Linked DNA regions of Tribolium castaneum. The main gene of each other region encodes a partner of the protein of the gene in region 2 in a complex. Links are inferred from orthologs where the notes say so. Each region holds a gene or a part of one and is shown on either strand. Other genes may lie near its edges. The genes, in order: Nup37 and Nup43.

Evidence for each region.
Region 1: Nup43 (region 2) and Nup37 share a complex: the UniProt entries of both Homo sapiens proteins name them as parts of the nup107-160 subcomplex of the nuclear pore complex. The link is inferred for Tribolium castaneum from reciprocal best matches to the Homo sapiens genes NUP43 and NUP37.

Annotation. Positions count from the first base shown.
Region 1 is NC_087402.1:810,483-814,028, forward strand, and holds Nup37 (nucleoporin Nup37), read right to left. Parts: upstream 1,974-3,546; 5' UTR 1,956-1,973; coding exon of another isoform or gene 1,902-1,955; 5' UTR 1,897-1,901; coding exon 1,838-1,896; exon of another isoform or gene 1,813-1,837; intron 1,766-1,812; coding exon 1,695-1,765; intron 1,619-1,694; coding exon 1,560-1,618; intron 1,513-1,559; coding exon 1,330-1,512; intron 1,234-1,329; coding exon 619-1,233; 3' UTR 604-618; downstream 1-603. Other genes in the region: Nop10 (H/ACA ribonucleoprotein complex subunit 3), read left to right, coding at 1,902-1,955, 2,008-2,050, 2,102-2,199; DNA mismatch repair protein Msh3, read left to right, coding at 2,706-3,546. UniProt on the Homo sapiens protein: Component of the Nup107-160 subcomplex of the nuclear pore complex (NPC). The Nup107-160 subcomplex is required for the assembly of a functional NPC.
Region 2 is NC_087398.1:14,041,647-14,046,231, reverse strand, and holds the start of Nup43 (nucleoporin Nup43), read left to right. Parts: upstream 1-1,753; 5' UTR 1,754-1,855; coding exon 1,856-2,077; intron 2,078-2,147; coding exon 2,148-2,616; intron 2,617-4,585. UniProt on the Homo sapiens protein: Component of the Nup107-160 subcomplex of the nuclear pore complex (NPC). The Nup107-160 subcomplex is required for the assembly of a functional NPC.

The DNA.
Region 1 (3,546 bases), on a different chromosome or scaffold from region 2:
TATGAGGCTGGTAGTGATAGGTTATGTCACTTGTTTGGGGAAAAAAATCACGGATGCTCCATTTTCGTATCATTAACAATGTTTGTGCGATAACTGTGTTATCGTATTTCCTATTATTTGTAGCACAGCACAGTTACACAGAGGAAACAAATTGTATTAAGTAAATATTAAAAAAAACTCAAAATTGCGTTTTTTTATTTAAAAAAAATGTGTATGTTAATTTTTATGCAAATTTTCATTCAAAATATCATCTCTTGAACCTTTTGTAGTAAGTGATTTTTTTTAATTTAATAAACAAATGTTTGAAGTACTAAAATTTTCAGCATTGTCAATTGTTAAATTGCAAGGCTACTAAGATTTTTTGAAAATATTGATCAAATAATGATTATAACACATTTATTTCAATGACAGTTAAAAGAACATCGATTTTTTTGATTCTAGTACTATTTAAAAAAGATTACCAACATACATATACAACCCTCCATGATTGAGTGTATATGTAATAAAATTTTTTGTATTTTTTCTGAAATCAAAATACTCATGAAAAGTGTGTAAGAACTCAGGTAAGAAGTTCCGGAGAAAAAAATTAAATAAAACACAGAATTATGTGAAATATGTTTATTTTGAGACAACTTTCCAAAAAGTCAACGTCATATAATCGCCAACGCAAACAATTGGATATCGGCAATGCCAACTAACATTACTCGGAAGTGTGACAGGAACTGACAACTTCATTTGATTAATCTGACAATCAACAATTTTCAACGTACTATCTAGACTATTAATCGCCGCCACCAAATTCCCAAATGAATTAAACCTAACAAAACCTCCAGCTTCGGTAAAAACAAGAGTATTACTCGCCGGAACGCACGGCTTTGACAAATCCCAAATGAGTAATTCCCCTAACTGCAATGATGCCACTAATTGCGAATCGGACGGCGCCCAATGGGCACAAGCTAGGGGCTTCCCATAATCAAGCGATAGAATTGGATTTTGCGTCTCAACGTTGTAGAAACGAATTAAACCGATTTTTTCAGCAATGAGTAATTTTGAACCGTCGTCTTTGTGCCAACATACTGACATTCCAGGTGACGTCAGTTGCAGTGTCACCACACATTGAAAATCGGTGGTGTCCCATAGTTTGGCAGTGTTGTCGTCACTCACTGACACCAGAAAATTATTGTCAGGGTCGAATTTAACGTCGTTTATGTAACTGTTGTGCTCACTTAAGACCTAGTCAAAAAAATAATTAAAAAAAAAGGTTTTTATTTACTAATCACAGCCTACTCTTATGCCAATTCAAATCAATTTATTTATTTATTTACGAACCTTACACACATCAGAGCCCCTTAAATCACTCCGAAACACTCGCACCTTGTAGTCTTTGCAGGCCGCTGCGAAAATTATATTATTTGGTAAAATGCTGGTTGATGTTTCTGGGGAAAATGTTAAGGAACAGCAGCGTGATTTAAGAGTGAATTCTGCCAAAATATCGAGTTCCAGCGATTGTTCCTACAATTTTAATAAATCAAACATCATTCTATTGTTACAAAACATACCTCATCTATCTTTAAATGCCCCAGGACTACTTTACTTTCGAACCCAATTAAAATCAAATCTTGGGAAAGAATAAAAGGGGAGAATTCAATGTTTAGTATTTGTCCATATTCCGAAAAATCCTTCTTAAATACTACCTTGGAATCGTTCAAATGCGATGCAATTTCCATAATTATGTTTGATTAGAAAAGTGCGCCAGAAATCTAACCTACAATAACCTAACTTTAGTAACTTTTGTGTTATGTCACCATGCGGCGTCATATTGGTAACCAAAACTAACCTTAAACCACATTTGTTGTGAAGCGAAAAAAATCGTTTTTTTGTGGGAATTTTCTTCATTCAAGATGTACTTAATGTATTATTTGGATAAAGACGGTAACCGGGTTTACACCTTAAATGTGAGTGTTACTTTACTGTCTTAAATATTGTGATAAATGAGTTTTTTTGTAGAAATTTGACCCTTCAGGAAAACCCACACTTTCGGCACATCCAGGTAACAATTCGTGAATTTTGGGGGGTTTACGTGAACTCATTATTGTTTTAGCACGTTTTTCACCCGAGGACAAATACTCACGTGAGCGAATCACAATCAAAAAACGTTTCGGGTTATTAATGACGCAACAGCCGGAACCAATTTATTGAGAAATAGTTTATTTTATTATTGTGATGAGAATATTTTTTTGATATGAATAAAAAATCGTAAAATAATGTGTTTTTTTTTTGTCATGTTGCTGCTTCTTCTACATTCTTCAAGTTATCTTTTAGATGTCTTTTTCAAAAAGTTATAGTTTTACTTAGAATTTTTCAAAATTATTTAAAAAAAAACTTTAAAAGAATTCCCCAAAATTGGGAAAATTCACTAGGTTGGCACCACTAACGGCGCTTGATTTTCAGTGCCTTGTGTGAAGAATAAGTCATTTCTTGACTGTTTTGTGGTAGTAAACGCTTGTCTGAATAAAGGGCGTAAATTCCAGGCCGTTTGTTGGTCATTTTGTGTAAATTAGCCATAGAATACACACACATTAGCTTCGCATTTTAGGGACATTTGGTAGCGTTATCAGCGCCGCCCTTGCCTGTCATTGTCATTTGACACGCCATTTGTGAGAAACCTTTGTTCTTTCTCAAAAAAATCAATAAAATACGTAAAAATGGGCGATCCGAGCCCAAGTGATCAGTTAGAAGACGGTGAAATAGTTGACGATGATGATTTCGAAGCCATTTCCGATAATTCCATCATCGATTCAACTTTTGGTAAGTTTGCTTCAACTAACCAACATTTACGTGCACCCCCTTTAAGTAGCGATAGTGAATCAGACAAGATCAAAACTAAAAAGCTACTGCACCGTAAATCAAAGCACCAAAAACGGCGCAAAAAGCGCCGAATACCGTCGTCTGACGACAGTGACAGTGATGTGTCACCTCCTCAAGATCTCAAGGGCAAGTTAAAAGAGGCGATCCACATCAGTGGTAGTGATGAGGGGCTCAAAAAACCCCTCGAGACACGACTCAAAGCCATGGGGGGCCTGGCCGCGAGCGCCCCCGAGCCCCCCCAAAAAAACGAAGACACCTCAGATAAAATGGACGATACTGAACTGGAGAATTTGCGTTTGGAAGCGCTAAAGACCGCGATTTTGAACAAATTCCAACGCCGGAAGCGGAAAAAGGAAGAAACGCTCGAAAATAAAGAGAATGATACGCCGAAAGATGAGAAAAAAACGGAGGAAAAAAACCCGGTTATTGACCTAGAGGAGGATGAGGACGTGTTAAGGGCCTCCCTGTTGGCGGGCCTTGCGAAAAATATCACTGAGAAAAGTGTAACCACTAAACCACTTCCTCCACCACTTCCGAAACCAGTAGTAACTGCGCTTCCAAAACGGCCAATAAATAACTTTAAAACCACGAAAAAAATCACAGTGACTAAACCATTAGTTAAACCGTTGATAATCAAAGTGAGTGATTCGGACAGTGACGAGGAAATTGAACCGAAAC
Region 2 (4,585 bases):
TAAAACCACTCCTAACTCAAAAACGAAATATAAATCTTCAGTTTGTTTTATTTACACAAGAGCATTAGAAATCAGGTGACATGCGTCTTAACTTTTGGGCTTGCGCAGTGGTGTAAATTTATAGATAAAGGTAAACTCCCAGTACATCCCCGAAATCCCTGTAAATCCTTAAACTTGCACACCATACATCCACAGCTGTTTACAGGTCGTAATGGTTATAAAATAATATAATCAATTTTTATGTAATGTAGAGTCACAAAATATGTATTATTACAAAAAATCATCGATAAACACTTTCTCATGTTTTTTAACAGTAGGTATAGAGAGAATTATTATTGTAAAAATAGTAAGTCCTGTTAGCCTTTTTCAATATTATGTTTTCGCCTAAGATTCCGCATCCAATACCCTTTATGCTTCGTCCTAAACTGACAAACATTATTTTCTTCCAAGCGAAATTGTGGAGATATACTAAAGTAATATTTCATGACAACAATGCAATGGGGCCAGAAAATGATTAGTCTGCAGTAAAAAAGATGTTTATTGCTCACTTCGTCTCACTTTTCAGAACAGATGTTACCATGAGCAGACATGGGGCCTAAGCTGAAGCAAGCCCAAAGAAACCCTAACTTGCGAATCATTTTCTGTCGTCAACTGCACTGTTATAAAATATTACTTTAGTCAATCTTAACTACTCTGCTTGGAAGATAATACAAAATAACTATTTAATATTATTATTGGTTTTAAAATGAGATTTGTGACATACAATAAGGGCCTTACGTTTCACCAAATTATTCTATAAAGTTAAGTGAAACATTTAAACCTGTTCTGATATGTAATGTTCTAAAAACATGTTTTTAAACAGCGTCTTGAAAATAGTCTGTGCAACAGACATTTAATGAGGTTGAAAGTATATGGTGGTGCAGTGTGTGATCTTTTAAATCGCCGGCTTTATTTTTTGCATCATATGAACATTCGCGACATTTAAATATATATTGTTTACAGTACTGAAATAACCATGTCTGTTACTAATAGCAAGTTTTAGAAACACTAATACAAAAAACGTCTCTAAATTGCAACTAACGCAAGCTGTGAATGGAATCACACATTTGATTCAAAGGCACATGTTTAATGTGTGTATAGTGTATCTTATTCAATGGTGTCCCTTTAAATGTAGAAACTGGTTCGTCTCAAAGGAATAATCACGACATTTGTGCTCCTCAAGGGGCTGCTACAACACTAAACTGGCTTAGTGTCTTCCTCAGGCAACAGCTGTTTAATCATTTTCGTCTTCGATTTTTTTATCAATCTGAAAAATTTCTAGGTTAAAAAAGTTGTAAATTGTTTTAGTTTTACTGACCTGTTCCATTTCTTGGCTTTGGGAGAGCTTATCACATACTTTATTTTGTATTTATTACTAAATTCGTCTAATTGCCTTTCATGTAGGGGGGCTTTATAAAGGCCAGTTCTGTTGTTGAAATTTCATGACTGACATCTAGTGGAAAACATTACTGTCAGTGAACAGGTTGCCATGAACGTACACCTACTTCCGTTTCTATAAAATAAACCCCCCACATAAAAAAATCTGTTTTAAATAGTTATTTTATTTTTAAACATAAACTTATTACAGTTCAGCCGTAACAATATTTTCTAAACATTAATCATGTATTCTTATAACGTACTTCTGGCTTAAAAAAATGTAGAGTCGTTAAGCAATTTGTCTTATAGATTTGATACGGAGTATACTCCACCGCACGTATAGTGGGTTGCCTGACAATTATTCAATTATGCTTTCAACGACACAGTGAGGTTATAGCGCCACTTTTTTAATTTTTATGGGCTTAATTATACACAAAATATGGCCCACAACATTCATGGAACATTTGTTTCTGAAAAAGTTAATAAAATCCGTTGGAGGCCCGATTTTATGAATGCCTCGCATTATTTTGTAACCGGCAGTTGGGACAATGACCAAAACAGCATCAAACTTTGGGATTTCCAAGAAAATGAAGAAGATGCCGAAGTTTATCCATTTCTGGTGGCTGAATTTCCACACAACGGGGACATAACTGAAGTTAAAGTATGTATATTACAATCAGTATTGCGATACGAGCCACGTAGCGAGTGAAACAATTTTTGTCATTTTTTAGTTCTTAAACGGCGATTTTTTCGTTGCTTCTTCGTCGTCGGGCTGCGTCAGTCTGCTGAAGATTACTTCCGAACATGGAATTGATCCCTTAATTGAGAGAAAAATTTACTGGGAGGGAGTTCACAAATTTCCCAATGGGGAGAATTGCCCTTGCACTGCCTTTTGCACCTACGACAACGATATTGTGAGCGTTGGCGAAGACGGTTCTATCAATTTGTTAAATGCCCAAAACCAAAACGTTATCCGCACAATTGAAAACGCCGATAGTTGCTCAATTCGTTGTGTGGCTTTTCTGAAGCATAGCGAAATTTTGACCGGTAATTTTCGTGGACAATTGAAGATTTTCGATATTCGGGCCCCTAAAAGCCAACCCGCGACCACTTTCATGTTGAGTGGGGATCAAATCTCGCCATTGTGTCTCCAAAACCACCCTACACAGAGGCATTTGGTGGTAGCTGGCGATGAAGAAGGTACCTATTTTTTTTTTATTTATGTTGGCAAACGCCAAAAATGGTGCCAACTTAAAGGTATTGGCAACTTTCTTTTAAATGATACCAAAATAGTTATTTACATTATACGTGCGGTAGGTATAATTTTACAGCGTGAAGTTTTAATAAAATTGAACGCTGTAAAATGAGTCGTCTAGTTCCAAAACCTGCCGTCTCTATTCAGTATTTTTGTTTAATGTTTAATACAAATGCTGTTGAACAAATAAATTTTAAATTACACTGATATAAAACCTCTTAGAGAGTAGAATTCGATGACCTATACTTTAATTACAATGTTTGAATTTAAAGCCTGCATTTTTTTTAAGGTTGGAGGTGGCAAGTTTTGGAACAAGTTGGAGAGGAGATGGGCGGTTATGGAACAAAATGTCTTTTAAAAATCCTTTTTTTAAGACTAGATAGTGAAATGGAATAAAAAAACTCAAACTACGTATTTGCTGAAATAACATGTGGCTAAAGTTTTAAGTCTTTTAAGGCAAACACATAACTCCAAAAAACAACGCGGAGATAGTTGATTTTGGAACGCATATATAAGATTACTTTACGTAAAGAAATGACATTGATATTTCAAACTTTAATGCAGTTGATGTTAATAACTATTTTTTGTTAGTATTTAGTCCGCCAGATAATTGTGCTAAATCCACATTATCATTAGTACGCAAAAAAATCAACGATAATGGTTCCTTTCGTCTTCAGCTTGCTGCTGTTGATGAAGTTTATGAAATAGTTATAGTGTTGACGAAAATATTTTTATTTTTGATGTTGTGTATAGTTCTGCGTAACTGGCTATGTCTATACCATAAACCAATGAAAACTTCCACAAAACCGCATCAATTATTTTGGGCATCTTCTTAGTACCTGCAAGAGGCTCATTATCTTTTAGGATTCCTTCTTGTAAACAACAATGATCAAAATAATAACTGCAATTGTGGGGTAAGTTTTTGTTGGTTTGCGGTTGACATAGCAAGTAATGTGAGAACTATAAGTATATACCCTATATATACTCAAAATTGACGCCCATGCTTTTAGGATTTGCTTCAGAAGACTAAAACAAATCGAAAGTTAAGAGTGAAAAATTGTCCAATTGTCCTTCGTTATCGAGTTATTGATAAGTATCTAAAATTTAAAATTTGTACATTAAATTTTATTAAAAGCGAATTTACCAAATTTGTTGTCACAAAGTATGCTATAATGCGATTTGGAAACTTTTCCGTGTAGGCCCTAGTCTCAGCAGTGGCATTGCCATCATACAAACATCTTACTTATAACCGAGCTTTTAACATATCGTCAAAATTTCGAATACACTAATAAAGTGGTATCTTATCATTTAACACATACAAAAACGAAGGAAATTAATAATACTCTTTACTAGACACAGTTATTCAAAGAATTTTAATATCGCTAACATCAACTAATCAATTATGTTGCACAAATAATTGGAAAGACAGCTAAAGCTTATTATTTACATTTTTATCAATAACTCTAAAACGAACAATTGGAAAATTTTTTACTCTTAACTTTCGATTTGTATTAATACCCTAAATCAAACTGCCATAGCACAGGCGTCAATTTTGAGACTTTTACTTGTTAGAACGTAATCTATTCAACATTTTTCAAACGAGCGTAAATGGTTGGCTTGGTTAAACGAAACTGATCGAAGAAATTTACATCACTAACAATTTCAAAATAATTTTTCTTTTTCTATAAATTTTTTGTCTTCGCAGTTCGGAAGAAGATAATGAATTAGAAGAAAAAATGAACACTTTCTTAATTTTGTGCAATTCAAAAAACTGACAAATTTAACGTTTGTTAAAGTTGCTTTTGTAATTTGCCGCCGTCTTTACGTCTTTACCTAATCATTATTTGACGAAATATTTTACGAAAATTTTTAGGTTGAAACGCATTTTAAAAATTGAAGTCACTTTTAAAAGTT